Linked DNA regions of Mytilus edulis. The protein of the gene in region 1 interacts with the protein of each later gene in a pairwise test. Links are inferred from orthologs where the notes say so. Each region holds a gene or a part of one and is shown on either strand. Other genes may lie near its edges. The genes, in order: ubiquitin-conjugating enzyme E2-17 kDa, E3 ubiquitin-protein ligase Bre1-like, myosin-VIIa-like and calreticulin-like.

What was found.
Region 2: the proteins of ubiquitin-conjugating enzyme E2-17 kDa (region 1) and E3 ubiquitin-protein ligase Bre1-like interact in binary tests that used the Caenorhabditis elegans proteins (3 or more experiments, as listed by UniProt). The link is inferred for Mytilus edulis from reciprocal best matches to the Caenorhabditis elegans genes ubc-1 and rfp-1.
Region 3: the proteins of ubiquitin-conjugating enzyme E2-17 kDa (region 1) and myosin-VIIa-like interact in a two-hybrid assay, tested with the Caenorhabditis elegans proteins (2 studies listed by BioGRID). The link is inferred for Mytilus edulis from reciprocal best matches to the Caenorhabditis elegans genes ubc-1 and hum-6.
Region 4: the proteins of ubiquitin-conjugating enzyme E2-17 kDa (region 1) and calreticulin-like interact in a two-hybrid assay, tested with the Caenorhabditis elegans proteins (2 studies listed by BioGRID). The link is inferred for Mytilus edulis from reciprocal best matches to the Caenorhabditis elegans genes ubc-1 and crt-1.

Annotation. Positions count from the first base shown.
Region 1 is NC_092351.1:724,241-732,159, forward strand, and holds the start of ubiquitin-conjugating enzyme E2-17 kDa, read right to left. Parts: upstream 3,152-7,919; 5' UTR 3,018-3,151; coding exon 2,974-3,017; intron 2,859-2,973; coding exon 2,778-2,858; intron 1,612-2,777; coding exon 1,496-1,611; intron 1-1,495. UniProt on the Caenorhabditis elegans protein: Catalyzes the covalent attachment of ubiquitin to other proteins.
Region 2 is NC_092349.1:58,372,075-58,379,741, forward strand, and holds the start of E3 ubiquitin-protein ligase Bre1-like, read right to left. Parts: upstream 3,026-7,667; 5' UTR 2,935-3,025; intron 1-2,934. Other genes in the region: ankyrin repeat domain-containing protein 27-like, read left to right, coding at 3,137-3,187, 4,523-4,628, 5,123-5,159, 5,621-5,697. UniProt on the Caenorhabditis elegans protein: E3 ubiquitin-protein ligase that mediates monoubiquitination of 'Lys-117' of histone H2B. H2B 'Lys-117' ubiquitination gives a specific tag for epigenetic transcriptional activation and is also prerequisite for histone H3 'Lys-4' and 'Lys-79' methylation.
Region 3 is NC_092346.1:78,765,759-78,773,682, reverse strand, and holds the start of myosin-VIIa-like, read right to left. Parts: upstream 3,197-7,924; 5' UTR 3,036-3,196; coding exon 2,988-3,035; intron 1,322-2,987; coding exon 1,061-1,321; intron 340-1,060; coding exon 155-339; intron 1-154. UniProt on the Caenorhabditis elegans protein: Myosins are actin-based motor molecules with ATPase activity. Unconventional myosins serve in intracellular movements. Their highly divergent tails are presumed to bind to membranous compartments, which would be moved relative to actin filaments.
Region 4 is NC_092344.1:93,359,731-93,367,868, reverse strand, and holds the start of calreticulin-like, read right to left. Parts: upstream 3,109-8,138; 5' UTR 2,967-3,108; coding exon 2,882-2,966; intron 1,685-2,881; coding exon 1,580-1,684; intron 1,343-1,579; coding exon 1,136-1,342; intron 573-1,135; coding exon 478-572; intron 47-477; coding exon 1-46. UniProt on the Caenorhabditis elegans protein: Molecular calcium-binding chaperone promoting folding, oligomeric assembly and quality control in the endoplasmic reticulum (ER) via the calreticulin/calnexin cycle.

The DNA.
Region 1 (7,919 bases):
TTGTTGGCATGACACGGGTTATGTTCTACTCATATATGTTATGATGGTATGATACTAAACCCCTAACGGGAAAGATTGTGCCTGATGTTCATATGATGAAATCATAATCTTTCAGTCAGTTTAATTGAAGTCAGGAGCTGGCATGTCAGTTAACTGCTAGTAGTCTGTTGTTATTTATGTATAATTGTCATATTGTTTATTTTCTTTGGTTACATCTTCTGACAACAGACTCGGATTTCTCTTGAACTGAATTTTAATGTGCGTATTGTTATGCGTTTACTTTACTGCATTGGTTATAGGTATAGGGGGAGGGTTGAGATCTCACAAACATGTTTAACCCCGCCGCATTTTTGCGCCTGTCCCAAGTCAGGAGCCTCTGGCCTTTGTTAGTCTTGTATTATTTTAATTTTAGTTTCTTGTGTACAATTTGGAAATTAGTATGGCGTTCATTATCACTGGACTAGTATATATTTGTTTAGGGGCCAGCTGAAGGACGCCTCCGGGTGCGGGAATTTCTCGCTACATTGAAGACCTGTTGGTGACCCTCTGCTGTTGTTTTTTATTTGGTCGGGTTGTTGTCTCTTTGACACATTCCCCATTTCCATTCTCAATTTTATAATTTGGCTTTAAAATTAGAAAGATCATATCATAAGGAACATGCATATTAAGTTTCAAGTTGATTGGACTTCAGCTTCATCAAAAACTACCTTGACCAAAAACTTTAACCTGAAGCGGGACAGACGGGCGGAGGCACAGACCAGAAAACATAATGCCCCTCTACTATCGTAGGTGGGGCATAAAAATAATTAAAAACATTCCTGTAGCATAAAGTGTTGTGGATTGATGGTTATTATGGGACTTTGTATAAAACACAAAGAAAGATGTGTTTGTTAACTCGTCATTATATACAGCTCATAAATTAATCAGTCAAATTTATTCGTTAAGTGTATGTTCACTTGTGTTAATATGTCTTTTGATTGAGTCAAGCCATTTCAACTGATATTTTATAGTGTATGCGTCTTTCTTTGTTGTGATGTTACACTATTGTTTCTGGAAAGGGTGAAGTTGTACCTACATGTAAACAATGTTTCAAAACATTTAAAACACAGCTGTATTTGTTTGCACCTGTCCAAAGTTAGGAATCTGATATTCAGTAGTTGTTGTTTGTTGATGTGGTTCATAAATTTTTCTCGTTTCTCTTTTTTTTTTTGAGATTTGATTCTTGGTTTTCTCGTTTAAATGGTTTTCTACTAGTCATTTATGGAGCCCTTTATAGTTTGCTGTTCGGTGTGAGCCAAGGATCCGTGTTGAAGACCATACTTTGACCTATAATTGTTTACTTTTACAAATTGTGACTTGGATTGAGAGTTGTCTCGTTGGCACTCATACCACATCTTCTTAAACATGTATCTATGAGTTTGTATGAGTATCAGGACCTAATAATATGTCAAGCTCTACATCATTCTAAGGATGTTTGTACTAAATACACACTTACCATTAGGGTGAAACATTTTAGATACAAATCGTACTGTTGGAGGTTTATTTGGATATTCTTCAGTGAATTCTACTGTTAATTTAAATGTACCATCTTCAAAAGGTGTGTCATGTGGCCTAAAACAGAATATATAACAAATGAAGTCCATGAAGCAAGCAATAAAATAAGACAGTGTAAACAAAATAAGCTCATATTTCAATATGCCTGTTAAGAAATCATTTTATAATTATATGGATGCAGTACTGTCAAGTCTCATCTTTTAACATGAGACTCCACATATTCATGCTTAATTGGTGACATTTTCTTTTGATTCATTGTTCTTCTCTGATGTTTTCTGGGAATCAAAACAGGGTCAGGATCGATATAATATCATAACAGAGATATCACAAAGGTGAATGACAGTCCATGAGTCCTGGACTAGTCATGATAATGAAAATCTGTATTTGAAAAATGTCAAAATAAATCTGGTGCCCTGTTGATTATTTCTTTGATCAGTCATTTAACCTTATAGTAATCAGGATACTAAAGAAAATAAATGTAGAATGGTATTGAGAGAAAAATAGCTCTAGAGAGGGAGTTATGATTTTTGTTTGAGAGAATTGTTCTTCAGAGTTTAAAGACGATGCCCCCATATTGTTGAGTCTGCAGTTTAGATGTTGTAAACTTGTATAACTGTTACTTTTGGTTTATTTCAATTATACAATATTTAACTTTTAATACACCTTATCGCTACTGGTCCGCCATTACTGGATATCACACAGGTTCCTGTAAAAAATTGACGTCATAAAACAAAATATCTGACGCCACAATATAAAAGTGATTGTTGTATGCATCAAAAGTTCAAGCAGTCGGGTCGTCCGGGATTAGCGATATGGTGTATTGACTTTGTGGTTCAGTTCAGACAACACCAGGATCCCATTTATTTATTTATGTGACCAGGATCCCCTAAATCACGCTACCAGAAGATATCTAGGGTAACCCTCTTAAAGTATTTCAGAGGCATTTCATGTACGTAGATCTGTGGTCTGTGGCTTATATGGCAATATGGCTACAAGATGCATCATTTTGTAGAAAATGATGCACATGTTTGTAATTGGCTCTTTATATAAATTCTTTCCATGAAAAGGCACCTGTAACTTGTTCAAATGTTCCTAAATAGAGTTTAATGTTGTTGTGCTGGAATTAGTAAACTCTGATTATTCAATGACAATGAATAGGCTAATAGTAATAGGGATTGACCTGATTATTATGACAAATTATCTTGTTTCTCGACAAAACTTACCCAAATATTACCGCATTCCACAACATTATGTTATTGTCTGTTGGGGCACCACTTACACCAGCAGGTGGATCTTCTTGTAATCTGAAAATGAACAGTAAGAACTTTGAAAAAAAATATATAAACAAAAACGGAAGCCATGTTTGATAACTGTTTTGAAGTACATAATTCGTTTTAAATGAGAATAGGGCTACACTACCTTTTAAAATCTCTCATCAATCGTCTCCTAGCAGGTGTGGACATTGTTATACGTTATATTTTACAATAATTGTGCGTTTATCGCAGTATTTGATTGATATTTCCCTAATTAATGCGGAGAGATATTTCTTGTTTATGACGTTCTCATACGGGTTCTTTTCGTTTTTCGGTATTCAGTGAAGATGGATAAATCTGATGAAATCTAACGAATGTTCCGAATGAAATAAGATCATGTGATATTTCAATCACATTTCAATAGGTAAATGCCATTCGTCACAACTCGGCCGATTCCGTACCTTCAGAAGGAGAGATTCACCGAGCATTGCCGAATGCGGTAATGCTTATATTTTTTCAAAGAGTTCTGTGTCCCTTGGAAATATAACACTATTGAAAATTTCATAAGTGCACAATTCTTGCCAGATATCATATTATATTTATATCAGCAATGCCTCTATACCAATTTTGAAAATCGGTGCCTATTAACAAATTGTTAAAGAATTGTAATCATTGGAAATATATTTAAAAATAAAAATTTAAACTGCAAATTTAAAAAAAATGTGATATCTGTGATCATTGGAAATATATTTAAAAATAAAAAATTTAAACTGCAAATTTAAAAAAAAAATGTGATCATTGGAAATTTATTTAAGAATAATTTTAAACTGCAAATTTAAAAAAAAAATAGTGCTTCATATATCATGTACATATGTTTTTCTATTTCGCAAGATACATGTATATGCTATTGCTTAGAGTTAATTTTTAGTGCTGCTTTTAATTATTTATTTTGCATGCTGCATGCCTTGTTTTATTTGTTATCAAGTTGCATATGTTTTTATATTCGGTGAAAAGGTCATTATCTAGAGCTTATGTTTGTACTGTTTGTCAATATGCCGAATCCAAATAAAGTTTTACCTACTTACTTTCTTACTTATATCTAAAAAAAATAATATAAAAACGGTTTTTAAAGAAAAAAATATGTTTGTCAGTTTAAGGATTTGCATAGTAAGTCTTACTATACAAATCCTTGGTCAGTTATTGTCCTGGGACTGATAAAATATGTACAACGTGGGCGCGGACAATGGAACTCTGTTCTTTTATATCTTTTACTAATGCAGTTTTTTTACATGTTTAAAATATTAATAAAATCTGACACTACTAGTGTATTATAGTAGTCTCAGATAAAAGGTTTAAATAAATCGATATGATGATATGAGGGTGGTAAAGGGGGTGCCTTCATGACGAATAACGGTAAAAATTCTTGCCAAATGACGTTTTCTTTAGTAGGCTTACGGTATTAAAAAAAAATCTTGCCAAAAGACGTTTACGGTAACTTTTGGTGCATGACGATAAAATATGCCGGCACTTTCTTTTAGACGATATATAAAATCGAATGATTTTTCAAAAATAACGGTAACGATAATTATTTGAGAACTCTGACGAATCACGATAAAGATATTTTGACGAATAATCATTTTGACGCTAACGGTAGCCGAAAATGCCCGTTTGATGCCTGACGGTAAAGGGCATTACTACCCTCTGATATATCTGTTATTCAGTGACACGAGTACAAACGGCCAATGAATATCACTTAAATATTTCCATAATATTTTTGAAATTGTGGCGTGTTACATATATATTATATTGCCTTTTCGGAAGAAACGGGCGTTCACCACGTTTTCTCGGATTGCATGTATTATTTGTCTCACGGACTGGTGTTGCTCAATTAATGTTTTTCTGTGTAATATTTTGTTTATTTGCATAATTTGTCATGTTTAATGTGTTTGTATCTTGGAATACGCATTGTATCATATGTGTTTTGTCCAATAAAATATTTGAATTTGAATTTTGTTTATATGAGTAAAATTATGCCGATTTTTTTATTGTCCTCTTGGTATTTTCTCACTATATCTCTTTAAGACAGGTAATTGCTAAAGGTTACATGTTTTACATGTCACAGTTATGCTAATTCTCAAGTTACTAAGCACGACCCTTGAACATGTTTAGAACATTTTAATACACACGGACATTTTTTTTCCTTCTATATGAATTGTAGATTTAAAAGCTGATATTAATCATTTGATTTATCATTGTCCAATGGTGAGTTGTTAAAACTGGAATCGTTAAGTTAACACCTAGTGCCAATTTAACAGTATTTAAAAAAAAAATATTATTTGACACAAAGGCGGATAAATTGGTAAAAGAATGGACTAGCAGTTACATACAAATAACTATCAAATGAATAGGCTAGTTAATATAATAATTTGGATTAAAATAGATAAATTATACAATTATAATAATCTGTGACAGATCAATTGTCGCCGGGTCCATACTTTACAGTCCTATTTGACCAGTCTAAAAAAAAAACAGTACCTAAATCAGATAAAGATGGCACAAAATAACTGGATTCTTGACATTGAGGAATAATCTTAAAGCCGGACCATTGAAGAAATTGTATATTCTAGTAATATATAGTACTTAGGCATTGTTAGCTCATATCCCATCTTAATTCTTATATCTATAGACAAGAGAACTCTAGTAATCTATGGTACTTAGGCATTGTTAGCTCATATCCCATCTTAATTCTTATATCTATAGACAAGAGAACAATAGTAATCTATGGTACTTAGGCATTGTTAGCTCATATCCCATCTTAATTCTTATATCTATAGACAGGAGAACTCTAGTAATCTATGGTACTTAGGCATTGTTAGCTCATATCCCATCTTAATTCTTATATCTATAGACAAGAGAACTCTAGTAATCTATGGTACTTAGACATTGTTAGCTCATATCCCATCTTAATACTTATATCTATAGACAAGAGAACTCTAGTAATCTATGGTACTTAGGCATTGTTAGCTCATATCCCATCTTAATTCTTATATCTATAGACAAGAGAACAATAGTAATCTATGGTACTTAGGCATTGTTAGCTCATATCCCATCTTAATTCTTATATCTATAGACAAGAGAACAATAGTAATCTATGGTACTTAGGCATTGTTAGCTCATATCCCATCTTAATTCTTATATCTATAGACAAGAGAACTCTAGTAATCTATGGTACTTAGGCATTGTTAGCTCATATCCCATCTTAATTCTTATATCTATAGACAAGAGAACTCTAGTAATCTATGGTACTTAGGCATTGTTAGCTCATATCCCATCTTAATTCTTATATCTATAGACAAGAGAACTCTAGTAATCTATGGTACTTAGGCATTGTTAGCTCATATCCCATCTTAATTCTTATATCTATAGACAAGAGAACTCTAGTAATCTATGGTACTTAGGCATTGTTAGCTCATATCCCATCTTAATTCTTATATCTATAGACAAGAGAACAATAGTAATCTATGGTACTTAGGCATTGTTAGCTCATATCCCATCTTAATTCTTATATCTATAGACAAGAGAACTCTAGTAATCTATGGTACTTAGGCATTGTTAGCTCATATCCCATCTTAATTCTTATATCTATAGACAAGAGAACTCTAGTAATCTATGGTACTTAGGCATTGTTAGCTCATATCCCATCTTAATTCTTATATCTATAGACAAGAGAACTCTAGTAATCTATGGTACTTAGGCATTGTTAGCTCATATCCCATCTTAATTCTTATATCTATAGACAAGAGAACTCTAGTAATCTATGGTACTTAGGCATTGTTAGCTCATATCCCATCTTAATTCTTATATCTATAGACAAGAGAACTCTAGTAATCTATGGTACTTAGGCATTGTTAGCTCATATCCCATCTTAATTCTTATATCTATAGACAAGAGAACTCTAGTAATCTATGGTACTTAGGCATTGTTAGCTCATATCCCATCTTAATTCTTATATCTATAGACAAGAGAACTCTAGTAATCTATGGTACTTAGGCATTGTTAGCTCATATCCCATCTTAATTCTTATATCTATAGACAAGAGAACAATAGTAATCTATGGTACTTAGGCATTGTTAGCTCATATCCCATCTTAATTCTTATATCTATAGACAAGAGAACAATAGTAATCTATGGTACTTAGGCATTGTTAGCTCATATCCCATCTTAATTCTTATATCTATAGACAAGAGAACAATAGTAATCTATGGTACTTAGGCATTGTTAGCTCATATCCCATCTTAATTCTTATATCTATAGACAAGAGAACTCTAGTGATCTATAGTACTTAGGCATTGTTAGCTCATATCCCATCTTAATTCTTATATCTATAGACAAGAGAACTCTAGTAATCTATAGTACTTAGGCATTGTAGCTCATATCCCATCTTAATTCTTATATCTATAGACAAGAGAACTCTAGTAATCTATGGTACTTAGGCATTGTTAGCTCATATCCCATCTTAATTCTTATATCTATAGACAAGAGAACAATAGTAATCTATAGTACTTAGGCATTGTTAGCTCATATCCCATCTTAATTCTTATATCTATAGACAAGAGAACTCTAGTAATCTATAGTACTTAGGCATTGTTAGCTCATATCCCATCTTAATTCTTATATCTATAGACAAGAGAACTCTAGTAATCTATGGTACTTAGGCATTGTTAGCTCATATCCCATCTTAATTCTTATATCTATAGACAAGAGAACTCTAGTAATCTATGGTACTTAGGCATTGTTAGCTCATATCCCATCTTAATTCTTATATCTATAGACAAGAGAACTCTAGTAATCTATGGTACTTAGGCATTGTTAGCTCATATCCCATCTTAATTCTTATATCTATAGACAAGAGAACTCTAGTAATCTATGGTACTTAGGCATTGTTAGCTCATATCCCATCTTAATTCTTATATCTATAGACAAGAGAACAATAGTAATCTATAGTACTTAGGCATTGTTAGCTCATATCCCATCTTAATTCTTATATCTATAGACAAGAGAACTCTAGTAATCTATGGTACTTAGGCATTGTTAGCTCATATCCCATCTTAA
Region 2 (7,667 bases), on another chromosome or scaffold:
GCAATATTGCTTTGTGTTGTGTGTTTAATAACGCAGAGTATTAATGAATTTATACAAGAATATACTATATATGAAATAAATTGATTTTAAAAACAAAAGTTATTTATATTCAGTCAATTAAAGAAGTCAAAATATAAATATTCATCTCTGTACTCTCTGTTACTTCTAGGGATATTGTTTCAAGATAGTGTTATTTTGTTGGACAGTCTGTTCCTCAACGTTGTCTTAATCCTCTTCAGGGTTGAAAACCCCCTCTCATAATAACTTTTGCTTATACCCCCCTTAACATTTCTAAGCCATGAAAACTCAGTCAGCCACTTGTCACTGAAACTAGAAACATGATGCTTGCTGTTATCACTTGCTAAAACTTTAGCTCAGTTGGGATTAGGAGAAGCAATTATAACATCTGCTTATACTGACAGCTGAGTGTAGAGGGAGGTGTATTCCCCTTTTCATTAGAAGTCATTGATCTGAAAAAAAACAACCTTCTACTTCCATCATGTCTTTTGCTTAGAATTCACCCTTTGTTATTTGCAGAGAACATGTTCATTCAGAATTAATAAAATCGAATATGGTTAAGATCTAGTTGGTATACAACTTTTTAAAACAAAAATATTTTAATGAACAGCTGACAAGTTTCCGTAGTTTGACATTTAATTACGCTTCATTGTGCATTATATGTATTGTTAAACCCTATCTTTGGCAGGTAAATATAAACCAGACTTCGTTAAAGTTAAGACCATTGGAATTATTTACTAGTGACATTATCAGCGATTCCGTACCCGTGTTGATTGTCACATAAAATGTTCCCGACGCATGGACTCACGATCGATGTTCAATGATCATTTTATTTCTAAAAATATGACAGTTTGAAACGAATTTACCTTGCAAGCAACATTTTTCACTTTCAATTAAAATAAATCACTTCTCGTTATCTTTAATCAAAGTTTATTTTAATCTTTTCAACTACAAATTCTCTCATTCATAATTTTCATCGTAAATATCTTTAGCAATGTGTATTCAAATCTATCACGTGTATTGAACACGTTCATTGGTCGTCTTTAAATAGATTCTTCTTCTCGACCAATGAAAAAATTCGTTATATAAATGGTCAAGTAATCACACACACGATGCTTAAATACAATGTATTTGCGATCTATTTCTTCAATTTCTGCACTGAAGTTTTTAATTTTTTTTAATTTTCTGCTGAAAATATCTATCTTCTTGATGATCATTTACGCTATTACATGATAACATAGTCCGATAAGGCTGAGATAAGCGTGTCTCAGGTAAAACTATATAATTATCAGATATTGCGTAACACTGACCGAACTCTCAGCGGTGATCAGCAACTTGACAATTTTTAACCAACATTTATAATGAAAATGTGAAAATTAACACGCTGCGGGATCAAGTAGCAAGGGACAGCGGCCAATTAAGACGCTGCGGGATTAACGAAAATATTATGAAGGCGCTGCGGCACCGCAGCGTCATATCGGCCTGGGGAGAACACTGTGTTGACATTTTTTTTCTTTAAATAACCAGTACACGTACAATGCATGCGTTGTCAATCTGTAGCATTGTCTAGCTAGGGGTTAAATTGAAGTTCACATGAATACGGATTTAAAGCGGTCGACTCATTCACTTGCAAGTGATTGACTAATTATCAATGTTTCTTAGCGTAATTTGACAAAATTGAACATTTATGGCTGCAAAAAGCGAATTGTTATTTCACTATTTCACTTAGTATATAACTCTATAGGGTTGTTACAGGAAAATAACATACATTTGTTATTGTGGACTAAAAAATCAAAGAACTGTGATAACATATGTATGTTACATGTTTCAAAGGGACAATATACATCATAAGTTTAGTTAAAATGTATACAAGTTCTATTAATATTGCTATTGTCTTTGTGTATACTTAACTATTGAAAGATGTAATAGTTCATAGTATTCTAATTTTGGATAGTACACCTATATGTTATCACAGAAAAAAAATGCCTGTAATAACTAAAGGGTGTTATCACAGCTTCTCTATATCACTTCAAAGCATTTGCTCAGACATAAATCATGCTTAATTACAACGTATTTTAATTTATTTTAAGAAATAATGACCAGAGCATGTAATGAGGTTCTGCGCAAGTTTCTCAGTAATTCCCAAGTGTCTTATATAATAAGCTACATTCCTTCAATAACTAAGCCTTGTTATCACAGCTAAGTTAATTCCTTAATAGCCTTGTCTCATTGATTTACCATGGTAAATCAAAAATGTATTAATTCAATTTAAAAATTAATTATCAAGGCTATGCATTTAGTTTCTGCGCAAAGTCTCAAGAGTTTCCTAGAGTCCACTATAGATTAAATAATTTTACAAATAACAAACATATGTTATTACAGATTTAGAAAATTTAAGGAAAAGTATCTGTAATAACACACGCAAGTTATTTTCTGTAATAACCCTATAGAGTTATATCTCTGACTGGTCATACACATACAGCTGATATTTAAAAACACCAAACAGTTACTGTCTACATATCCAGCTAAAGTTCTTTTATAGTGGGTCTCATATTTGCCAAGTTAACTAAGACTATCCATCATTGTCCATTGGGATCCATAGATAGTAAACTCGGCAAATAGTAACAAACCTCTGTGTGAACATTTAGTGTTAATAGGTGAGGTTTATTTAAACAGTAATGCGAATTCACACTGAGGAACAGTACATAATGGAAGAAGACAAGCATTTGACAAAACTAAAGACTAAAGTAGTAAAGAAGAAGAAAAGAAGAAAGAAAAAGACATGGAGCAATATCTTAAAAACTAAGATACATATAGAATAAATGCTAGCAAACATCAAACACTTAAAAAGGTGTATTTAACATTGAAAAAAATCTGTTCGTTATATATTTTAAATAATTTCTTTAAAACTGCAACCTTAGGCTTCCATCTTGAAAAGTCCCGGATGAATTTCGATAACTTCTAGACTTTACATCTAAACGCATGAGAAACTTCAAGGTGTTTCGAATGGCGTACACTTCCGGTCAACTGTCAAATCTCATGATTGATAAAATTACCAGGTTATCACATCCACCATTGATTGCAGTTACCATATTCATTTCTCAAAATATTCAGAACTATGGCTGAAATTGATGAATTAGATGTTAATCCTTTCTTTAGGTCATTACAGGTATAATTCAAATTCAACTGTAAGGAACTGAGCACTGTGGGTATCAGGTCCGTTCGCGCCCAATATAGTTTCGCACCCTACACGTTCGCACCTCACATTTTCGCCCCCCACGTCCGTTCGCACCCTACATGTTCGCGCCCAATTTTTGATAAAATTTAAGTTAAATTGTTAGAAATTATTCATATGAATATAACAAAAATATAGTTCTTTCTTTGCCTTTGGCAATCATCTGATCATACCACATCCTCTTATTTTCACATGTTGAGGCTGGGTAACAGCAGGGTAATCATCATTGTTTGAGAAAAATTAATTGTCATATATTTATTTCCGTAGTTCTATGAAATGACATGAGTTTAGAGATGACATCTGTGCATAATATTTTCCCGTACTTTTCCAATGTCACATTAATTGTATATGTTTTTACCTCATAATTTTTGTCCTTAAGACCTTTCATTATAGTAGTTTGACTCTCCCTCTGGTATCTTTCATCCCTCTTTTTTTATATATATGTTATTACGTCATAATTTTTGTCATTTCATTACAGTTGTTGCAAACTTATACATGTATAATGATTACATATATGATGCAGGTGAACATGGTTAAGGAAGAGGAAGTCTGTATTAAAATTTTATTGTTGCCATTGATTTATTTTGGTAATCATCAGATATACAAATGTGAGCTGTAAATTGTAGAACATTTCAACAGCTGTCAACAGTACTAATTAAAAAAGAGAGAATGATTTTGAGTTCATGAGTACATTTAATTTTTGTTGAGCCTTCGACTTTAGTTGAAAAAGTGAGAAATAGCAATCCTACATTGCGTCAGCTTCCACAAATATTCACTCTGCGGTTAAAGTTTTTTGAAATTTAAGTTCTTCTTAGTGTGGTTCTCACCCAGTCTCATTATTCACAATCACATATAAAAAAGAAGATGTGGTATGGTTGCCAATGAGACCACTGTCCACAAGAGACCAAAATGACACAGAAATTAACAACTATAGATCACTGAACGGCCTTCAACAATGAGCAAAGTCCATACCGCATAGTCAGCTATAAAAGACCCTGAAATGACAATGTAAAACAATTTAAACAAGAAAACTAACGGCCTTATTTATATAAAAAAAAATACGTAACACATAAAAAAAAACGTCAACCACTGAATTACAGGCTCCTGACATGAATTTGGCACTGGCATGTATATGTATATATTGCTAAACATGCTAAAGATTAAACTAAGAAGAAATAATTGTTTATAATTTTTTTTGGTGTCTGATAAAGTGCTTAAAATGTTAAGACATATATTTCATCAAACTGTTTTATTATTTTTTATTTTCAGACTACACATAAAAACCTGTACAAAGAAGTCCAAGATAATGGTTACATATTGTGTGTTCCACAAACAACATCCCTCATGGAGTCGACATTTACTGTCAAATTTATAGGTCAATTTATTTAAGTATATAGATATAGGAAGATGTGGTGTGAGTGTCAATGATGTCGGATTAAAACTTGATTAGGAATAAAGTCAAAAACAATATAGTTGTGTTTCCAGTCTCCCTGCCTACCCTAAATTTACATGCCTGCCATTACGCATATTTGGTTAAGCACTCTTAAAATCCTGTGAGTGCAAATTTTATGTATCGCTATCACTATATAGACAACTCTCCATCCAAGTCACAATGTGTAAAAAGTAAACAATTACATGTATGGGTAAAAGTGATAATGGCCTTCAATACAGAGCCTTGGCGCACACTGAACAGCAAGCTATACATGGCTCCAAAATGACCAGTGTGAAAAACCAACAATATACATGTAATCTATATAAAAAAAGGATAACCAAAGGATAACCTTTAAACCACACATCAAACACCAAGAACATGAAGAAGTGGAATAATTAGTCACAGATTAAATAATTTTGTTTTCTGTTTACTTTCAGCAAGTCATATTTTAAAGCCATCCCCATACTTCAAAGGGTGAGTGTTTATGCATACATATATTATTATTATTTCTATCAATGCTCAAAATTCATTGTAACAATCATTCAATTTTTCTGCTACATATTTCAAAATTCTGATGAAAATAATATATTGATTTTGTATTATTTATTAAAGACACTTATAGCAAGGCATTATACAGAACACAGCAAATTTGGTTGCTTTTTCATGTATCTGTACATCGTCTCAGGGAGAGGTTCATACAGATAATACTATAAAATTTGTAAGGGTTCTGCGGAACCCAGTGTCTCTCCTGCTTTTGCTGTTTAATATCACAGGCTCTACGAAAATGGTGAAAAATTTTACGAATTTTCCTCTAGATAATATCTTTTGATTGTAAAAAATTAATTTCAAATTTACTAATTTTATATAAGAGTCTTTTCATTTTGAATTTTTTCCTTTCTGGAAAATAAATTAATACTGCATTTTCTTTATTTTAGAGAATATTTTTTGTTGTCCAGTGACAAAATCTCAGTTCATCTGGATGAAAAAAGAAAAGAATTTGTAACTGGTGAAGGTAACATATTTTGAGTCATAAATATAAGGCTATTATTTTTATGTCATTCATACATTGTGAGCAAGCTTGTTTAAAAAAATCAGTTTAGTGTATTGGTTTGACAACATGGACAAAGTAAAGTCTATTTTAACCTTTTATGGTCTTAAATATACATGCAAAAATTTCAATTGTTCATTCAAGATCAATCATTCTATACCCCATGCAACAAAGGACATACTATGTAGATGTGCATATCGACAGGAAATTATGATTCAGGTTATTTTTCTAGGAGTTATGCCCCTTTGAACTTATTGGCCTCAATATACTTTTGCAACAGTTTGTCATCAAATTTGTCATCAAAACTCCTCTGAAACCTCACAACAGAATTTTATGAAACCTACATGTATTATAAGGACATACTATGTAGATGTGCATATGGACAGGAAATTATGATTCCAATTTTTTTTCTTACTGTTATTTTATTTGTCCTGTGACAAGGTCAGGGTTTTTGGTGGAAGAAGACGTCAAGTCTTCTGAAGACCTATGGGACCGACTTTAAACTCATTGAGCCTCCATATGCCGCATTCGTTTCTGTGTATTACAATTTCATAACAACTTAAGATTCCTGACACCGATTTTTACACATGATTAAGCATCTGAATCATTTGATTTGTAAATTAGGATTGAAAAACAATCACTATCGTAAATATGACCTTTTTATTTATGTAAATTAATAGATTTCATCTCATCCACATGAAATCCATGAACGTTATTTGTTTACTTGTAACCGGATGTTTTTAATTTACTGTAGATATTTGTAGTACGCATGCGTGAATTTGGTATTGGGACAACTCGCCCTGTTTACAAGTTCGACCTTGAAGTTACGAATTTGCAATCTTGCAGACAAGAAGATTTTGTTTTTAATAAATAAAAAGGATCTATTTCTTATTAAATTGGTGTCTTTATTCATTGTTTTCCTTGTCATGTGAACTAGATGCCTTTCTACTTCAAATGGTTTGAATCTATTAAGTATTTATAAAATTATTCAAGACTCAGTTGACAAGAGCAGCACGTTACTGTTGGGAGAATTTGATTAAACTCTAAATGCTCATAGAATAAGAAATATAATTGAAACTGAATGTACCTCCTTCTGAATAATGTATTGCAATATAAATATAAATCCCTTTTGACAAGAGAAATCTGACTTTTGTCAGAAATATTTTTTTCACATGTGCAAAGGTAATCACGTGTGGCGGCCATATTGGTTTGTTTACAAATATGTGAAGAAGCCTGTAGAACCATGACCTAAACATAAAAAGTCTCTGAAAGCGTAAACTTTATGCAATACTATTTTATCAATCATGATTATTTTCATAAATTTAAATTTGATTATTTAAAGAAATAAAATTATAACAATTACGATTTTAGATAAGAGATTCTACTCAGACATGCTGTGATCTATCTGTATCTATTTATAGCCAAATTAGTTTACCTGTGTGAAAATGTAAATAATTTGTTTACTAAACAAGTAAAGACAAACTATGGATGGAAGATAATAATTTACATAAATATTTCAGGACATTTGATTGATTTTAATAAATATAGGATTTAAAAACTGCAAGTGGAAACAAATTTATTCATTAGCTACATAATCAGCTGATCAACAATTTTTCTCGCAAACATCGTGGTGATGTAACTGATAAAAATCACTCCATCAATCCTCCAGCCCTTTCACATATTAAGCAATAGATCTACTTATTATTGTAGAATATTCATTGAATATACATTCATCGTCTAATTGAATATATCGGGTAATCGGATAATTTTAGCTGAAATTTTAGGTATCCGATTGTCCGGAGTCTACTGTACTACCATAAACATGATAAAGATAGTAAATAGTATTTTTTTTCTCACTAATTTATTGACATAATACTGGTTGTAACATATTTTATTTTTGTATTCAGGTTGGGACCCCCCCCCCCCCCCAATTA
Region 3 (7,924 bases), on another chromosome or scaffold:
TGAAAGTACTTCAGTTAACTGTTAATGTAGAATTTTTTGCAGTGTTAGAAAGTGGTGAAAATTCTAAAAAGGCTATCATTATCCCTTATGGGCCAGGAAATACTACCGTGCCACCTTAAGTATTAAGTATCTGCTATGGGGAGATAACTCTCACCTGATTATAATACATTGGTCATGTCTGTATCTTTTCATGTTATAGTATGAATTATCTGCTATAGCAAATACATGAGGAGGTAACTCTCCTATTTTTCTGTCGCTGTACAGTTTAATCTGTTCACTGGTGTAGATAGGAAGAACTTGGTATGGGTTAACAGCTACAAGGATGGAACCTGTGAATGTCTGTAAAGTGAAAGGGTAAAAAGATACTACACATCATTTGATCAATAACCAGTATCACTTACAAAAAACAATTTAACATCAAGCAATTCAATATAACATAACAAACATGAAATTAATAAAATAATCTAGTTTGAAAAGTATTTGTAGTTTAGCATGCAGATATTTTGGTATTTTTTCTGCTTTTATTTATGTAGAATTCATAGATTTACCACATCTTTCATTTTTTAGATTTGGAACAGAATTTTTGAAGTCTGATTCTCAGTGCAACATAATTTAGTAGGAAGATAACTTTCTTTTTACTGGCTAATGATCAGTTTCTGTCGACAGGCCTTTAACTTACTAACAAAAGTATTATGAAAATTGGTTTACAAGTGGTACCTTCTGCCAAAAAAAATACTTCATTTGTAAAAACTTAGATTGTAAGCAGCCAATAAAAGATGTAGTAAAATGCCTATTTTTTGTTGTTGTTTTATAATAGGTACAGTACTTGGAAATACACATTTTCTGACAGTATTGGTACTTAAGCCATAAGAAACACCAAGTCAAAGTATCCTACAGGTCCTGTTCTTGTACAAATTTGTAAGATTGAAGTTTTAATTAACGACAGTATCTAAACATACGTATAGCCATACGAAACACAAAGTCAAAGTATCCTACAGGTCCTGTTCTTGTACAAATTTGTAAGATTGAAGTTTTAATTAACGACAGTATCTAAACATACGTATATAAGATTTTCCATGTATCTTGTAAACAAATTCCTCAGGATTCCAGCCTCGTTTAGATCACCTAATCCAATCATGTCTTCGATTCCTTCAACTGATGTAGGGTGCATGTGTTTGATCTGTGTCTTCCCATCCAGCCATACTTCTTTGCCATCATCATCAATCACTTGGATCTTACCGGACTGTGTGAACTTGACCCTCCCTCCAATGGCCACATTAAATTCTCCCTTCGTCTCTGGCTCCAGCCACACATGGTCTCCCTAAAGGTAAATAATATCAAAATAAAATAAGAATTAATAGGTCACTTTAAGCCAAATGAGTTCTTTACACAAAACAAAAAAAGGTGGTTGTATTAACCTCAGTGACGACAATTAATGCTAGGTAAAATATAAATGGAGATGTGGTAGAAACCGAACAAAACAATCAAACCAGAATAGATATATATAGAGGTCAATATAGTCTACTAAAAATTGGAAGACAAGACTCTATACCATATGGCAAGATCTAAAATTACTACAGTACAAACAAGTTGTATGCATATAATACACCTTATCGCTATTTGTCCGCCATTGCTGAAAATCACACAGGTTCCGTAAAATTTTGACGTCATAAAACAGAATATCTGACGCCACAATGGAAAAGTGATTGTTGTTGACGTCAAAAGTTCAAGCGGCCGGGTCAGCCGGGGTTAGCGATAAGGTGTATTGTAACAGACCTGTAATGATATATACAATCAAGTTCAACAAGGAATTTTTAAAAAAAGCAAAAACAATAAGCTAGTACTACAGACATTTTTAGTCAATGAAGTCCCAATTTTCACTCTGGCAAGTCAAGAAACACAATATCAATGTTTTTTATTTTCATTTAGTTTATAAACATAGACAAGTCAACTTAATACTGATTTTTAAACTTATTTTTTCTCCTGTACCATAAAGTGGTCTTTCTGTCACAAATTTCACAGCAAAGCGCTAATATTTCAGGCCCATTGGAACATATTTTGATGAACAAAACCAACCCCCTTTTGATGGTACTAAACTATATATACACAATGACACTTTCATCATATACAATAGCAAATCATGAAACAATCTACCAGTAAAACAACATTATACTTAAAACAGCTGACAGACGTACCACCCTAACATGCAATGTTTTACCAATATTAAATTTTATTGGAAATTTCTTTTCTTTTGATTATACATAATAAGATGAGAAAGATAAGATTTACCCAATTCTAAAATGAAATTAGGTGCCATGTATATCTGTAATTTCAAACATACACATGGCCTTTTGAAAATTGAAAATCTTAATCCCTGTTTGTACTGGTTCAATACTATCACAGATATTACAAACTGGTCACTTACACTTGATTCATTAAACTGAATACTTTTATCTGTCAAAGTAATATGTAAACATTGGTTATACATTTAAATCTGATTGATTTTTATAGGTATTGCTTTACTTGCAAAATGCTTTGAATTCCTTAGTTGTTATGAGAAATTTTCTTATAACTTTAAATTTATATCTGCAATGTGAATGAATTGTTAGATAACTAACTCCTTTGCAGTATAATACTTTTATCCTTTTAAAATTTGGCACAATTTTTTTGCAACATCAGAAGTTATTTATTTTTAATGAAATCTGTGAATTGAGATAATTTGGGTTATTTTACTTGAATCTCCTTTCTGAAACAAATACTGCTCTTTTTTTGTCTTTTATTTTATTTCAATAGTAATTGCTCCAGATCTATCAACATTCATATTTTTTTTATGTTTATGTCTTCCAATATTGGCCTATTTAAGCTTCATTTTAAACACTATTTTTTTTCCAACTACATTAATTCCTATTTACTGTAATATATCTTAGTAATAAATCTTTTTCCAAAATGTCATCAATTGACTTCATCAAATTCTGATTGATACTTACATGTACCTGTAGTCGTGGATACACATTGTGTTCATCGTTTTTTTCCATATTTTATACAATTTTAAGTCCTATTTTGAAAGAACACTTAATAATAGAAAATTCATAATCCCATTTTATTTCTGAAGAGATACTAATATTTCTCCATGCATTTTATGATGTAAAATTCCATTAAAGTTTGACATTTTACGTTAATTCCCGTTGGAAGGTGTGGAACTTTGAAATATTTCAATCACTACAATGAATTTGTGCCAAGGTGTTCGGTGGGTTGTTTTCAGAATTATAAACTAGATTATCAGCACGACCTACTATTATCTTGTTTTTAGTGATAAAAACCTCCATATAAAGGAGAGTCGTATAAACAGCTTAATGGAATTGGTCAATTGATATAGATAATGATATCTGGATGAAGAACGAGATTATTACTCTCATCAGACACAAGATCGACTAAGCACTTGAGGCAAGTAAATTGTATTTTAGTTTTTATATTTTTGAAATCTGACAATTTATGTTTCTATTTTGTTTTTAGATATCCATGGGGAAACATTCATTGGTTAACAATTTTTTTTTGTGCAGCCTAATGTTTGTTTTAAAGGGTTGTAACCTGCAGTTATATTACTTTAGCTTGATTAATTTTCATCCAATGTCATATTCATTATTCAGTTAGATGTGTGAGTTTCTCACCTATTTGAGTCACATAAGTGATCAAGGATAGAAAAAAAGAGATAAAATATATTCAATTTACACAGAAAAAAACATTAAACTGATGTCTAGACGCAAAGTTTTCCAACATAAACCCACTAAATGCAGGCACATTTTCTAGCAGTGTTTAGGATCACTCATTTTCGAAGAGATATCATAATGGCTGAATGGTTTAAGTGATTGTCATATTGTCACCACTAAATGGGAAAACAGTCATATAGAAAAAATGCAGAACACAAAACAAGCAATCTTATCTTGTAAGTTAAAGGTTATACATCACCTTGGTCAATTAATAACCAACACAAAAAAAACCAACAAGAATGTGTCCCAAGTACACGGATGCCCCACTTCAACTATCATTTTCTGTGTTCAGTGGAACATAAAATTGGGGTAAAAACTCTAGTGGGGCATTACAATTAGAAAGATCATATCATAGGGAACATGTGTACTAAGTTTCAAGTTGATTGGACTTCAACTTCATCAAAAACTACCTTGACCAAAAACTTTAACCTGTAGCGTGACGAAGGAACGGACGGACGAACAGACCCACAGACCAGAAAACATAATGCCCCTCTACTATCGTAGGTGGGGCATAAAAAATAAACCACAGCTAGTCTATAAATCATGGCACAGAACACTATTCATTACATTGTATAAATCAATACACAAAACACTAAGCATAACAGTTCTCAAACATTGCACAGAACACTTAAACAATAGTCTCGAAATAATTGGGCAGAACACTCACCAAAATACTTAATATTCTATAGATCATTGCACAGAACACTTACACAATAGTCTCGAAATAATTGGGCAGAACACTCACCAAAATACTTAATATTCTATAGATCATTGCACAGAACACTTAGCACAATAGTCCACGTCATATCATTGCCTTGCACATAAAGCTAAGCACAAAAGTCCATTAATCACTGAACAGAACACAAAGCACAATAGCCTTAAAATAATTGCACAGAAAAAACACAAAAACCCTTAAATCATTGGGCAGAACACTCACCACAATATTCTATAGATCATTGCACAAAACACTAACTTAAGCACAAAAGTCCATAGATCATTGAACAGAACACTAAGCACAATAGCCTTTAAAAAATGTTAGCAGAATAATTAGCACAATAGCCTTTAAAAAATGTTAGCAGAATAATTAGCACAACAGTCCTCAAATCATTTAAAAGACCAATAAGCACACACATCATTAATCATTGAACAGATCACAAGGCACAATACCCTTTAAAACAGTTAACAGAACACTGAAAACAATAGCCCTTAAATCATTGACCAGAAAACTAGGCATAAGACCCTTTTAAACATTTAACAGAACACTGAAAAAATAGCCCCTAATTCATTAAACAAAACACTGGGCACAATAGCCTTTAAATCATTGAACAGAACACTAACACAATAGTCTTTAAATCATGGAACAGAACACTAGGCACAAAAACCCTTAAATCATTCAACAGAACACTGCAGACAATAGGCCTTAAATCAATCAACAGAACACTGCAGACAATAGGCTTTAAATCATTCAACAGAACAGTGAGCAAAATAGCTCTTATATCACTGAAAACAAGAATGTGTCCATAGTAAACCGGTGCCCCACTTACACTATCATTTTCAAAATTCAGTGGACCATGAAATCAGAACAAATACTCTAATTTAGCATTAAAATTAGAAAGATCATATCATAGGGAACATGTGTAATAAGTTTCAAGTTGATTTGACTTCACCTTCATCAAAAACTACCTTGACCAAAAACTTTAACCTGAAGAGAGACAGACGGACGTACAGAGGAACAAATGAAAAAACGAACAAACTAAAGGACAAACGCACACACAGACCAGAAAATACAACGCCCCTCTACTATTGTAGGTTGGGCATAAAAAAATACTAAGCAACATGCAGTTCACTAACTACCTGTTTGAAGTCAGGTGCTGGAAGAGTTACAGCAAGCCCTGTTACACAAGAAGCACACATTCAAAATTCAAATTGTGTTCAAATAAACATAACAATCCTGACGTCAGCCTTTTTCAAATAAATACAATACATGATTTACAGTAAGTCATGGCTATCTCAAATATAATGTCATGTGTGGCAGAGTTTTGTTTAATATCTACTTGGGCAGAATATTTCACACTGCATCCCCTCTGGGGTATAAGTCCCATTTGATCAGAACGGTAGGCATGTTAGGTGGTAATTATGCAAAAATCAAGTTTCATTCATTACTGTATATTTGTAATTCACCATCATTATATTGCCCAAATGAATAGTGAAAACCATTTAACACCATTGAACCAACAAGATTGTAGCAATGAAGAGAAATAACTCTTATTCTGAGTGTTGACTTTTCATGTTATTCTTTGATTGGATATGGCTAATGGATAATCCATAGAACAAATTTTAAAGTTGAAAAGCATGCTGTCATGTTTACCTTATACAAACAAAGAAAAGATAAACATTAACAATTATGACAGTCTTTAAAGCTGGATTGTCAGAATATGCTTCTGAGTTTTTGATTATCTCAATATTCACTTAAACTTTCTTATTAGACCATTCACTGGTAGTTAAGATATCCTGGTAAAGACATAAATGATGTGACTGCAGAAATCAACTAACTTCTTTGAACCTGCATTTGTTTACATCCTCCCACCCCAGACATGCCTAATAGGTTGATATAAAGATGTATTGGTAACTAATACACAGTACAAAAGCTACCAAGGCTGTTTTGATAGATTCAAAGTTGATTTAACAATTATTAAATTACTTCAAAGTATACTTATACTCACCGGTCAGGTGATGAAATTTCAGAAATTACATAATTATTGAGTTTAAAATAGGGGTTGGATGTAAAGAAACACTGACTGTTAAAATATTAGTTTTTTTTGTTCGAATTATTGTACATTTGTGATAACGGCGCTTCTTTTGGCAGACTGCAATATGGGTTTATCCATTGTTGAAAGCCATACGGTGACCTACAGCTGTTAATTTCTGTCAGTTGGTCTCTTGTGGAGAGTTATCTTTTTGACAGTCACTTACTTTCTTCTTTTTTATACATAAAATAATCAATATTTTTTTACAGTTGTTAAATATCACTGAACTTATGAGGAGTTTCTTTTAAGCATACAGCCCACGGCAAATATAACACAATAAGGGGGATAAGTATGTGGACAGAAGAGGAAGACATTGGAAAGGATTGCATTAGCTAAAACAGAGGTACTAGAGCATACACTCAAATAAGAAGAACAAAAATAATGCTGGGAGACCCCCAAAAATGTTGATTTGATAAAATTTAAATAAATGATTATTTTTCATAAATATGTTTTGCTCAGTATCTGAACACCCAGGGCCATCTTTATCTTAGTTGTTACACATTTGTATTAATTTCAACAGTAAAAATTAATAAATATTCAAAGAGGCATAACTTCTACAATTTCAAATAAAATAGTGCATACATTCGAGTTCTTTGATTTGTACGAACGAGACCTTAGAAATTGGACAACAGTCCTCTAATAATAATGCTACATGTTGATAGTCATAGTCATATCACTATTACATGCAGAGTCATTCTCCTGCCTTCCTGAAATCCTGTGATAAAATTAGGTTGCTAGGTTTCAAATACTACTGTCAGTAATGAGTCCCAATATAACAAACATTAGCCTATTTACATGACTTTTCATTAGGAAATGACATGGAAATATCAACACCTTTAGGTACACTAACATTATATAACAAAGCTAGCTATCAAAAACAAATTAAGTGCACTTTTCACTATACCAGACATTTTAAACATTATCCTTTAGATGAAGGTGTGTCTCTTCTTAGTAAAATAGTATCATTTTTAAAACATATTATGAGTTTTAGTTTGTGCAGTTTGCTTTATATTTGTAAATAGACTAAATTACTTTAGTAAGAGTTATTAATAAAAGTAAGTTCAGTTCCTTTCTGATGGAAACAGTTCTAAGTTTTTCTGATTGCCATATTCATGATATTTGCCAAATAGGATATAAAGTAGTTATCTACCAAGTTTTTTCTACTTTAAATCCTGTCTGTCTGGTGTATTTGAATAATTTAACTTTTTGGATAGATGTATTGAATTCATAACTGATTATTCTTAGAAGAAGAATGAAACTTAAAATGGATGAATGTTTTAAAACTATTAAGGAACACTTGTCAAAAACATATTACACTGAATTAGTCATCCATTAGTCTTTTTGAAGAAA
Region 4 (8,138 bases), on another chromosome or scaffold:
TGTCTGGTCTTACTATCAATGTGTATAAATGGGTGAACACATCGTCCTGAAATAAATTAAAGAGACGATCATAATCATTACTTAAATTAAGCAAGATTTATGTTTGTTAAGACTATCTTCTCAATGTTTTTTTTTTAGAATAAACTTTTTTAAGTTTCCTCATTAGCAAGCATACTACATCTCCTTAAGTTTATGAGATCTTTTCTGGTTAATTTGACACTTATAAATGTACATTTAACAGTCAAATTGACTGAATTATTGTTGAAAACACAAAATGACCATCAACAAAATTTTGCCTGTCCATCTGTTTTAATTGTCATGGTTTGCTCTTTCTTTTTCATATGTAACTTGATTTGCTTTTAACACTGCTTCATTCCAATAAATCTATTGAGGTTGCTTTTCTCAAATTCAAGACTGCACTTTCTGCAAACTTTATGGTATAAGCTTTCTCTAATCATCAAAAGAAAACTACTGTACCTTGCATCTGATTTCCTTTTTGGTTAAAAGATTCTTTCCTTTGTAGGTGAAAATCACATGTACTTTTTTGGTTCCTGGTCCGCATATGTCAGGGCCTGAAAACAATAAATTCAAATAAATAATCTCAATTTGGACCAATACCAAATTGCAATACATTTAGTACTACCTGAACTGAACATTGCAAACCCAAGGAGGGATCCTAACTTGTACATCAATTTGATTATATTAAGAGGATCAAATTCAAAAGTTGGTTTATAAATTTGAAAATATTTTGTTTTCATATAATACCAATATGAATTTTAAATGCACTTGTAGCAATTGACAAATTTAAAACAAAAAGTTATTGCCTTTATTTTGATGATACAGTCTTCACGCTGAACTGCTAAGTCTACAGCTCAATTTTTGAAAATTTTTAGTTCGATTCTGTTGGCCTGTAGGTCTGATTTTTACAGGCCCCAGAGCAATTTTACCAGCCTGGGCTGCCACTCGGCGTGAAGACTGATGAAAGCATTTAACACTTTAAATAGAAGTCCTCGTTTAGAAATATCAGAAACTCAGCTTAATAAGAAAACCATAATCAACAATATCATTTTGGGAAAAATCAGTTGTAAGGTATACAAGAAAACTACTGATTAAAACCTTGTTTTTTATAACTTACCAAACATGATGAGATATGGAGAATCTCCATGGAGATTTTTCTGGTCAACATCACTTGGATAAAGTTTCATGTATCCTCCACCACAATCAATGTTCTGTTCATGTTTGACAGTGAACTGGATAACTAAAGTTTTTCCCTCATTGCTGATGGGCTTCTCTAGTTTGCTGGAAATTCCATAAAACTTTGCATCCTGGGATGTTTGAATACCTGTAAAATTAAGATTTAATATAGATTTTAAAAATATTTTCTATTTTTCCTTAGATTAAGGGGTGAAAATTTCTAGCATAGACACTGATATATAATTAAGTCAGTGAGTGATCTATTATTAGTTTTTGGATTTTTAAATTTTAATGAAGACATTTATGAATCCATTTCCATTTAACCATAGTTTTTATACATGTATGCAAAATTCATACACGACATACTAAATGTTATTATGTCTACCTTTGTCAAGATCTTCATCTCCGTAGAATTTTCCAGCAGTCCATTCAAATTTGCCTTGATCTGCTCCCTTAGCAGTAGATTCGACCCATCTGTCGGTCCAACCAGCTAAAAAAGATAGATAACATAAATATATGTTACAAGGCAACCACATGCAACTTTGGCAAGGACAAACTATATTTGAGATGGCAACCATCAGTCGGAATAAGGGGGAAGGGTGGGGCAGCCCCTCCCCCCATTAGTGGGAAAAATTTTGCTGATTATGCAGGGAATCACTGAAGCACAACTAAAGCCTCCCCCCCCCCCCTTTTATGAAAAATTCGGATCTGACACCAACCCTCTCATTTTAACTGTTTTCCTTCACAGATCTGGTGGTTTTAATAGGGAAAATATAAACCTTTCCGGAGTCGTCATTTAATTTAAAGATCATTTGATCAAACAACATATATTATATCAGAAAAGTGTCCCTACCCATTTCATATAGCATAAGCCACATTTCTATCTCGAAATCATTAAAAACATTGATATCAATGTACAGATATACCCTGAAGCCCTGAACAGGGTTCATGGCATATGATATGAAAGTAAAAATGTCTGAATCGATAGGTCACTGTGAAAACTTTAAATATGGAAAAATAAAGGGTGGCAGGTAGGTGAAGCTTACATAAATAAAGAGATAAATGAAAAATGATCAAATTCATGCCCGATTTATATAATTCCAATGCCGTCAGTCTGCACCAGAAGCGACGAAGCAGCATATCTATTTTGGGTGGGCAAATATCCACTTTTTTATATGGGACGAGCTCTGACGTCCCACGGCCCCAGCTTGTCTGGCAAAACAGCCGTTGGACCTCAGAGTAATCTCGGACTAGCCATATGATACAAAAATAAATGAATAAATAAATATATCACAAAAAGAATAAACTATCATGACTCGTGACAATCCTTTAAGAAATCTAGTGATTTCAAAAGAAATATAAAAGGCTAACTCTGTCAGCCTAGTATTCATTATTTACATGTAGTAAAGCACAAATTGTTCACAAGCCACTGACATGACTGGCCAGTCTGTTTAATTTCCCAACACTGCAACAGGCAAGCACCTTGTACTAAATTATTTAATCAAACACTGGCAATTAATATCAGGATCCTAATATCATTAGAATGATATTTCTCAAGAATGCAAAGTGTTGTAGAAGTAATCGACGAAAGTGATTCACAATTTTGACAGTTCAGGATAATTTTGTGTGTTCTTCTTACATGTGCACACCGTCTCTCAAAAGTTATAAAAAAAGGTTGCAAACTCACCACTGGAGAAACCCTCTTGAAAATAAACAGTTGGGTCTGACAGTGCTACGCCGAAAACGGCGACAAGCAACAGGAAAGTTCTCATTATTCGACGATGTTCCAATATGATGTTCAAGTATGATGTTCACTTCTCTGATGTTTGTATTTCCAGTGAGAAGATGCCGGGACACACGTGACAGGCCAGATGGAAGATTGTCATTGGATATATATTTACCTCGGTGGACCAATCGATTTGTACCACGCGCCCGGCTATCTACGTCAATCTATTCCTGTTACATTCGGCTGTTTCCGTGCCACGGATATTTATTATATCCAATCCGATTTTGACAGCACAAAAAGGGGGGATAGGCTGACACGAAAACACGAAATTAGCTAAGATCAGACCAACTTAGTTTAAGCTTATATCAAGAAACGTGAGAAACATTTATCATTAAAAGCTTGTTAGAAGTTTTTTCATGAACGTAAGATGTAACATGAGAAGATGTTATGTAAGAATTGAAAAAATAGATAAATAAAAAAAAAATATAGGCCTAAATACACAATATGCAATACACATACAACTACAACAACAACATTTTTGAAAAAAAAAATCTGTTTTTTATTTGGGTTTTTGTTAGTGCCTGATACATGCTTGTTTTCATATATGAAATACACTTATGAATTATTTAGTACTGAAATGTTTATGCAATCATGGAGGGGGAGGACAGGGGTAAGGGAGACAGGGAGAAAGAGGGTAGGAGAAAGGAGATAGGAGAAAGGAGAGGAAGGCTGGGAGAAAGGAGAAAAAGTTGGAGAAAGGAGAAAAAATAAAATATCTCTCCTTTTAAAATTTTTTCTAATATTTCAAGAAAAAATATCTCAAAAGATGTTTTATTCTAATGGGAGAAAAGGAGAACGGGGGTAGGAGAAAGGAGAAGAGGGGTGGGAGAAGGGAGAAGGGTACCCCCTGTTCCCCCCTCATCATGCATGCTCAGTGGTCTAGAAAGGCTATTCGGGGTACGGATACAAAAATAAAGAAATGCTGCCAGTTGACATGTATACCAAGGATTTGTACTTTGTTTATATATTCTAGGTCATTGACCATACATGTAATATACATTTTTCATGCACGATTTGATTCTGTATTTATACATCTTACCGAAGGATTTTCAATCATATTACATGTACAGTAGTTTTACTACAAAGGACTACAAATCCTTGATCATCACATATCTTATTTGATTCTTATTTTCTTCACAAGAAAAAAATGTATTATCTGAAAAGTTTTCCCCAGTTTCTCCAGGACCGTAACTAGTCTCTTTTAATATTGAGACAAAATATATTCGCCGAGCGTAGCGAGGCGAAAATTTTTGGCGAGGTATATGGGGGCCTCTCAAGGCCCCCAGAAGCTCTGAGAAAAATAACGCAAAATCGTGCATTCTGAGCGTTTCCCGGACTCTTTCTTACATTGAAACGCAATTCATTTTTAGCTATTTCTTTCGACAATATTCTTGTCTCAAAGCAAAAACATAGATTCATTGTAATTTAAGACTTTTAGATTTTACGGGGACAACATTAAATGTAGACCGATATGTAGGATAAAGCAAAAACCGAAATTCACATCATCATTATGTCTGTCTGTTCTTGTCTTGTATTGTGCTTAATTCAGACTTTGGTGATTTTTTTTTGACTAGATTTAAATATAGTGACAATGCAGTATTATACTATAAGTACTAGTACTGCTTATGTCGACACTAAGGACCATCTTGACCTTGTTTTACGGTATTAACATTTGATTCTTTTATTTTTGAAGACCTTCCATCAACTATCAAGATGAAGAATAGGAAAAAACTTTGACCGTTGATCATTTGTATTTTTTCTATGTATTGACTTTGTGTGAGATAAGGTCCTGTGCACGTTTACTCCATATTCTTTTATTTTCTGTTTAAGAGTCTGAACACGACTTCATGCAAGTTTAAGCCTTCAATGTAAAAGGTCATATGGCAATACATTGCCGTTTTTTTAAAGATGATTTGAGACCAAGAACAATGGATGGTCTTACTTTAATTTAAACCATGTCAGCTATCTAGTTTTATCTACAAAAAAAAGAGCCAGTTTTGTATTCTTTGATATCAAGTTCAATTCTCCATGCAGAAACGACAATTTTTTTCTAAGTCCAGTAGCATCGTATATATTCTTAAAATAGTTTCTCGTACAATGTCTGGACATCGGTGGACTTGCAACATTGCAAAACCACACCTTACAAATGAAAAATCAACACTATGCAGACTATAGTTATAAAGTAGGACAATAAATGAACAAAAGACACACTCGGAACACAGAAGTACAAACAATAGACCATCAACTCTGAAAACTAAAAGTAAAATAGAAACATGGGTCACGAAAAACATGCAGGGGCGATATCAGAGAGTGAAGAGAACTTGCTTCTTGCAAGACACTTTCCGTGAAAACAATTCAGGTTGATATGAAGACAATCTTGTTTCATTTTTTTTTTTTTGAAATTTCCAACATGAGGCATTTGCCTCATTTGCCTCCATGTAGTTACGGCCCTGAATTCTCATTGAAAAAATCATGGCATGAAACAATTTACACAATTTCATTTCAATAAGACCCCAAAAAAACGCAAAAGAGGGGTGCATTAAGTTAAAGGCCACATTCTTCAATGTTTAGCTATTGACGTATAGTACAAACAATTATAGATTGAAGAATTTTTTAGAGAAAAGTTTAAATTGTCAGATCTTTCAAATATTATGAATATTCGCGTGGCCATGATTTTACAATTATCTACAATCGATGTGCATACAATTAAATGGCTGCAAACTTTTCACCCAAAACGTATATTTCATGTGGGAATGTACTCAACTGTTTCTAGAAATTTTACTAAAATCTATGTTTTTCGCGCGAAAACTCATAGATAAGGATTTTTTCCTTATCACACGACACCCTTTGCTTTTCTGTGTTTAAAGTCCATAACTTCTGACTTTAGAACAGCACTTGAATATGCTATTCATTTAAGTTTGATTTGAGAATACTAAATATATTACAAGTGCTATAGACTATAGTATAGGGATGTCGCGTCATGAATTATTTACATTAATTGTTAGTCGGTAATGAATCAGGGGCGGATCTAGCGATCTTCAAAAGGGGTTCCCAACCCATTATAAAAAGGGGGTTCCAACTTTTGTCCCGCAATTCAAATGCATTTATCGTCGTAAAAAGAGGGGGGGTTAACCCCCCGAACCTCCGATTGCAGAAAAGGTAAGACTCAAATTTGAGTGTTAGTAAAACTATTTGAATCTTCGGAATCATGTTCCAATGTATCTATCAGATAGGAACCTCGTTAGTAGGTGCATGCATTGGATATATCTTTATCTTTAATATAGTCGTTTGGAGAATTTGTTGTTATTTTGTAGATCTTTTACGAATAGTCTCTGCACCATCCATTCCCTACTTCCCTACACTTTTTAGCCAATGTTATGTTATATGTTGTAAACCCCCTGCCCCAAAAAAAACCACACAAATCAAACAAATCTAGAGACTCCGACAAAAAAAAACAACACAAAAAAAAGGAAAGACAAATGTGATACCGACAACCTGTACACGTGTTTTTAAATAAATGAGAAATTTCGGAGAGATTTTGGTAAGACCGGGATATCCGGACATGCCGGATACATATGTACAAGCATCGTAGGTAGTAGTGTCAAGTACTAAGTGTATCAATACCATACAGTTAAAAGTAGTATTTTATAGCATGGTGCACCAACAAAAAAAAATTAACAACAAAGAGCTATAGGAGAAATTAATCCAACTTAATTATTTAAAAAAAAAAAAACTAACAGATTATTTTGTCAAACTTTGCCTTAAATAGAACTCCGAGGGATTCAAAACGGGAAGTCTCTAATCAAACGAGAATCAACTGACAAAATCAAAAGCTCAAACACATAAAACAAAGGATAACAACTGTCATATTCCTGACTTGATACAGGTATTTACTTATGTAGAAAATTGTGGATTAGCTAGCTTAGCATCCTATTTGTAATGTATCACAGTTGGATGAATTTTCATTATATTGACAATGATGTGTGAACAAAACAAACAGACATAATAGGTGAAAATGTCACTACAGAGGGGGTACAACGATTAAATTGTTTGTTACCGTGACAAGTGTTTGTTAGAAGGATATTATATAATGACGTGTATAGGAATTGTTTTATTTTTGCATGGACTGTTGTGTTCATGTTTATATCCAAGTCAGAATTAAGTTGAACAAAACATATATGTTTAGAAACTACTCCGTTTATCACATTTGGAGAGTATCAATCTAAACCAGAAGTTGTTGTTGTCCGAGATTATATAAATATATAATATGAATATCTTAGTTCTTATTAATGGATGGTATCTAAGAAATGTCTCTATGATGGTCTAGATAGGGATCCTTCAATTCTCTAATCTTTAATTTTTCAAGCCATTTTTCTCTATCCTTTATAATTTTTTCCACTAATCTTTATTCTTTATATTTAGTACCCCATTATTCTCTTTTTTATTTTTTTAGTCCTACTTTTCTATATTCTCTATTTTCAAGTTGGGCCATATATTTGTTGGATTGGTCCTTTATTCTCTATTCGGTAAACCCCGTACTGACCCTCGTATATCTCAACCCTTTAATTGTTTCGATTTATCTATAAGCATATTTGATCAATATTTTATATAAGTCCTTCAGATATTGAGTCCTCGTGGTTATTTGATGCCGGCACTTTTTGTGTAAGATTGTCTGAGTTAAAGCTATATATTGCATTATTTTGCATTTCAAAAACTAAAACAAAATCAATTTTATAGTACAATGGGCGTTTATTTCATTCTGTCCCTCGAAATTTCTTTTCATCTATGACTTGTCCGAAAGTTTTGCCGGTGACACATTGGTTATTTACCCCAGTTTCCAAATATATCATATCATCTTTAACAATGGCAGTCCAAATTTCTTGTTTTTCTTTCCGTAAGATCCTTTGCAGATTACTCCTACAACTTAAGTCTTAAACTTGATCTCAGCCTAAAATTACATGAATGAAATATCGCGTTGGACATTACAAAACCATTCACCAATCATTAATTCTATCTCCTTTTAATCGCAGAAACAAATACAACGTACGGATTAAACTAGAATTTTCATCGATGTCGTTATCTCAACGAAATTTCAGCTGTCTATATCTGATGAATTTTAGTCCAAAGATGATTTTGTGATAAGTTCGATCTTTATATA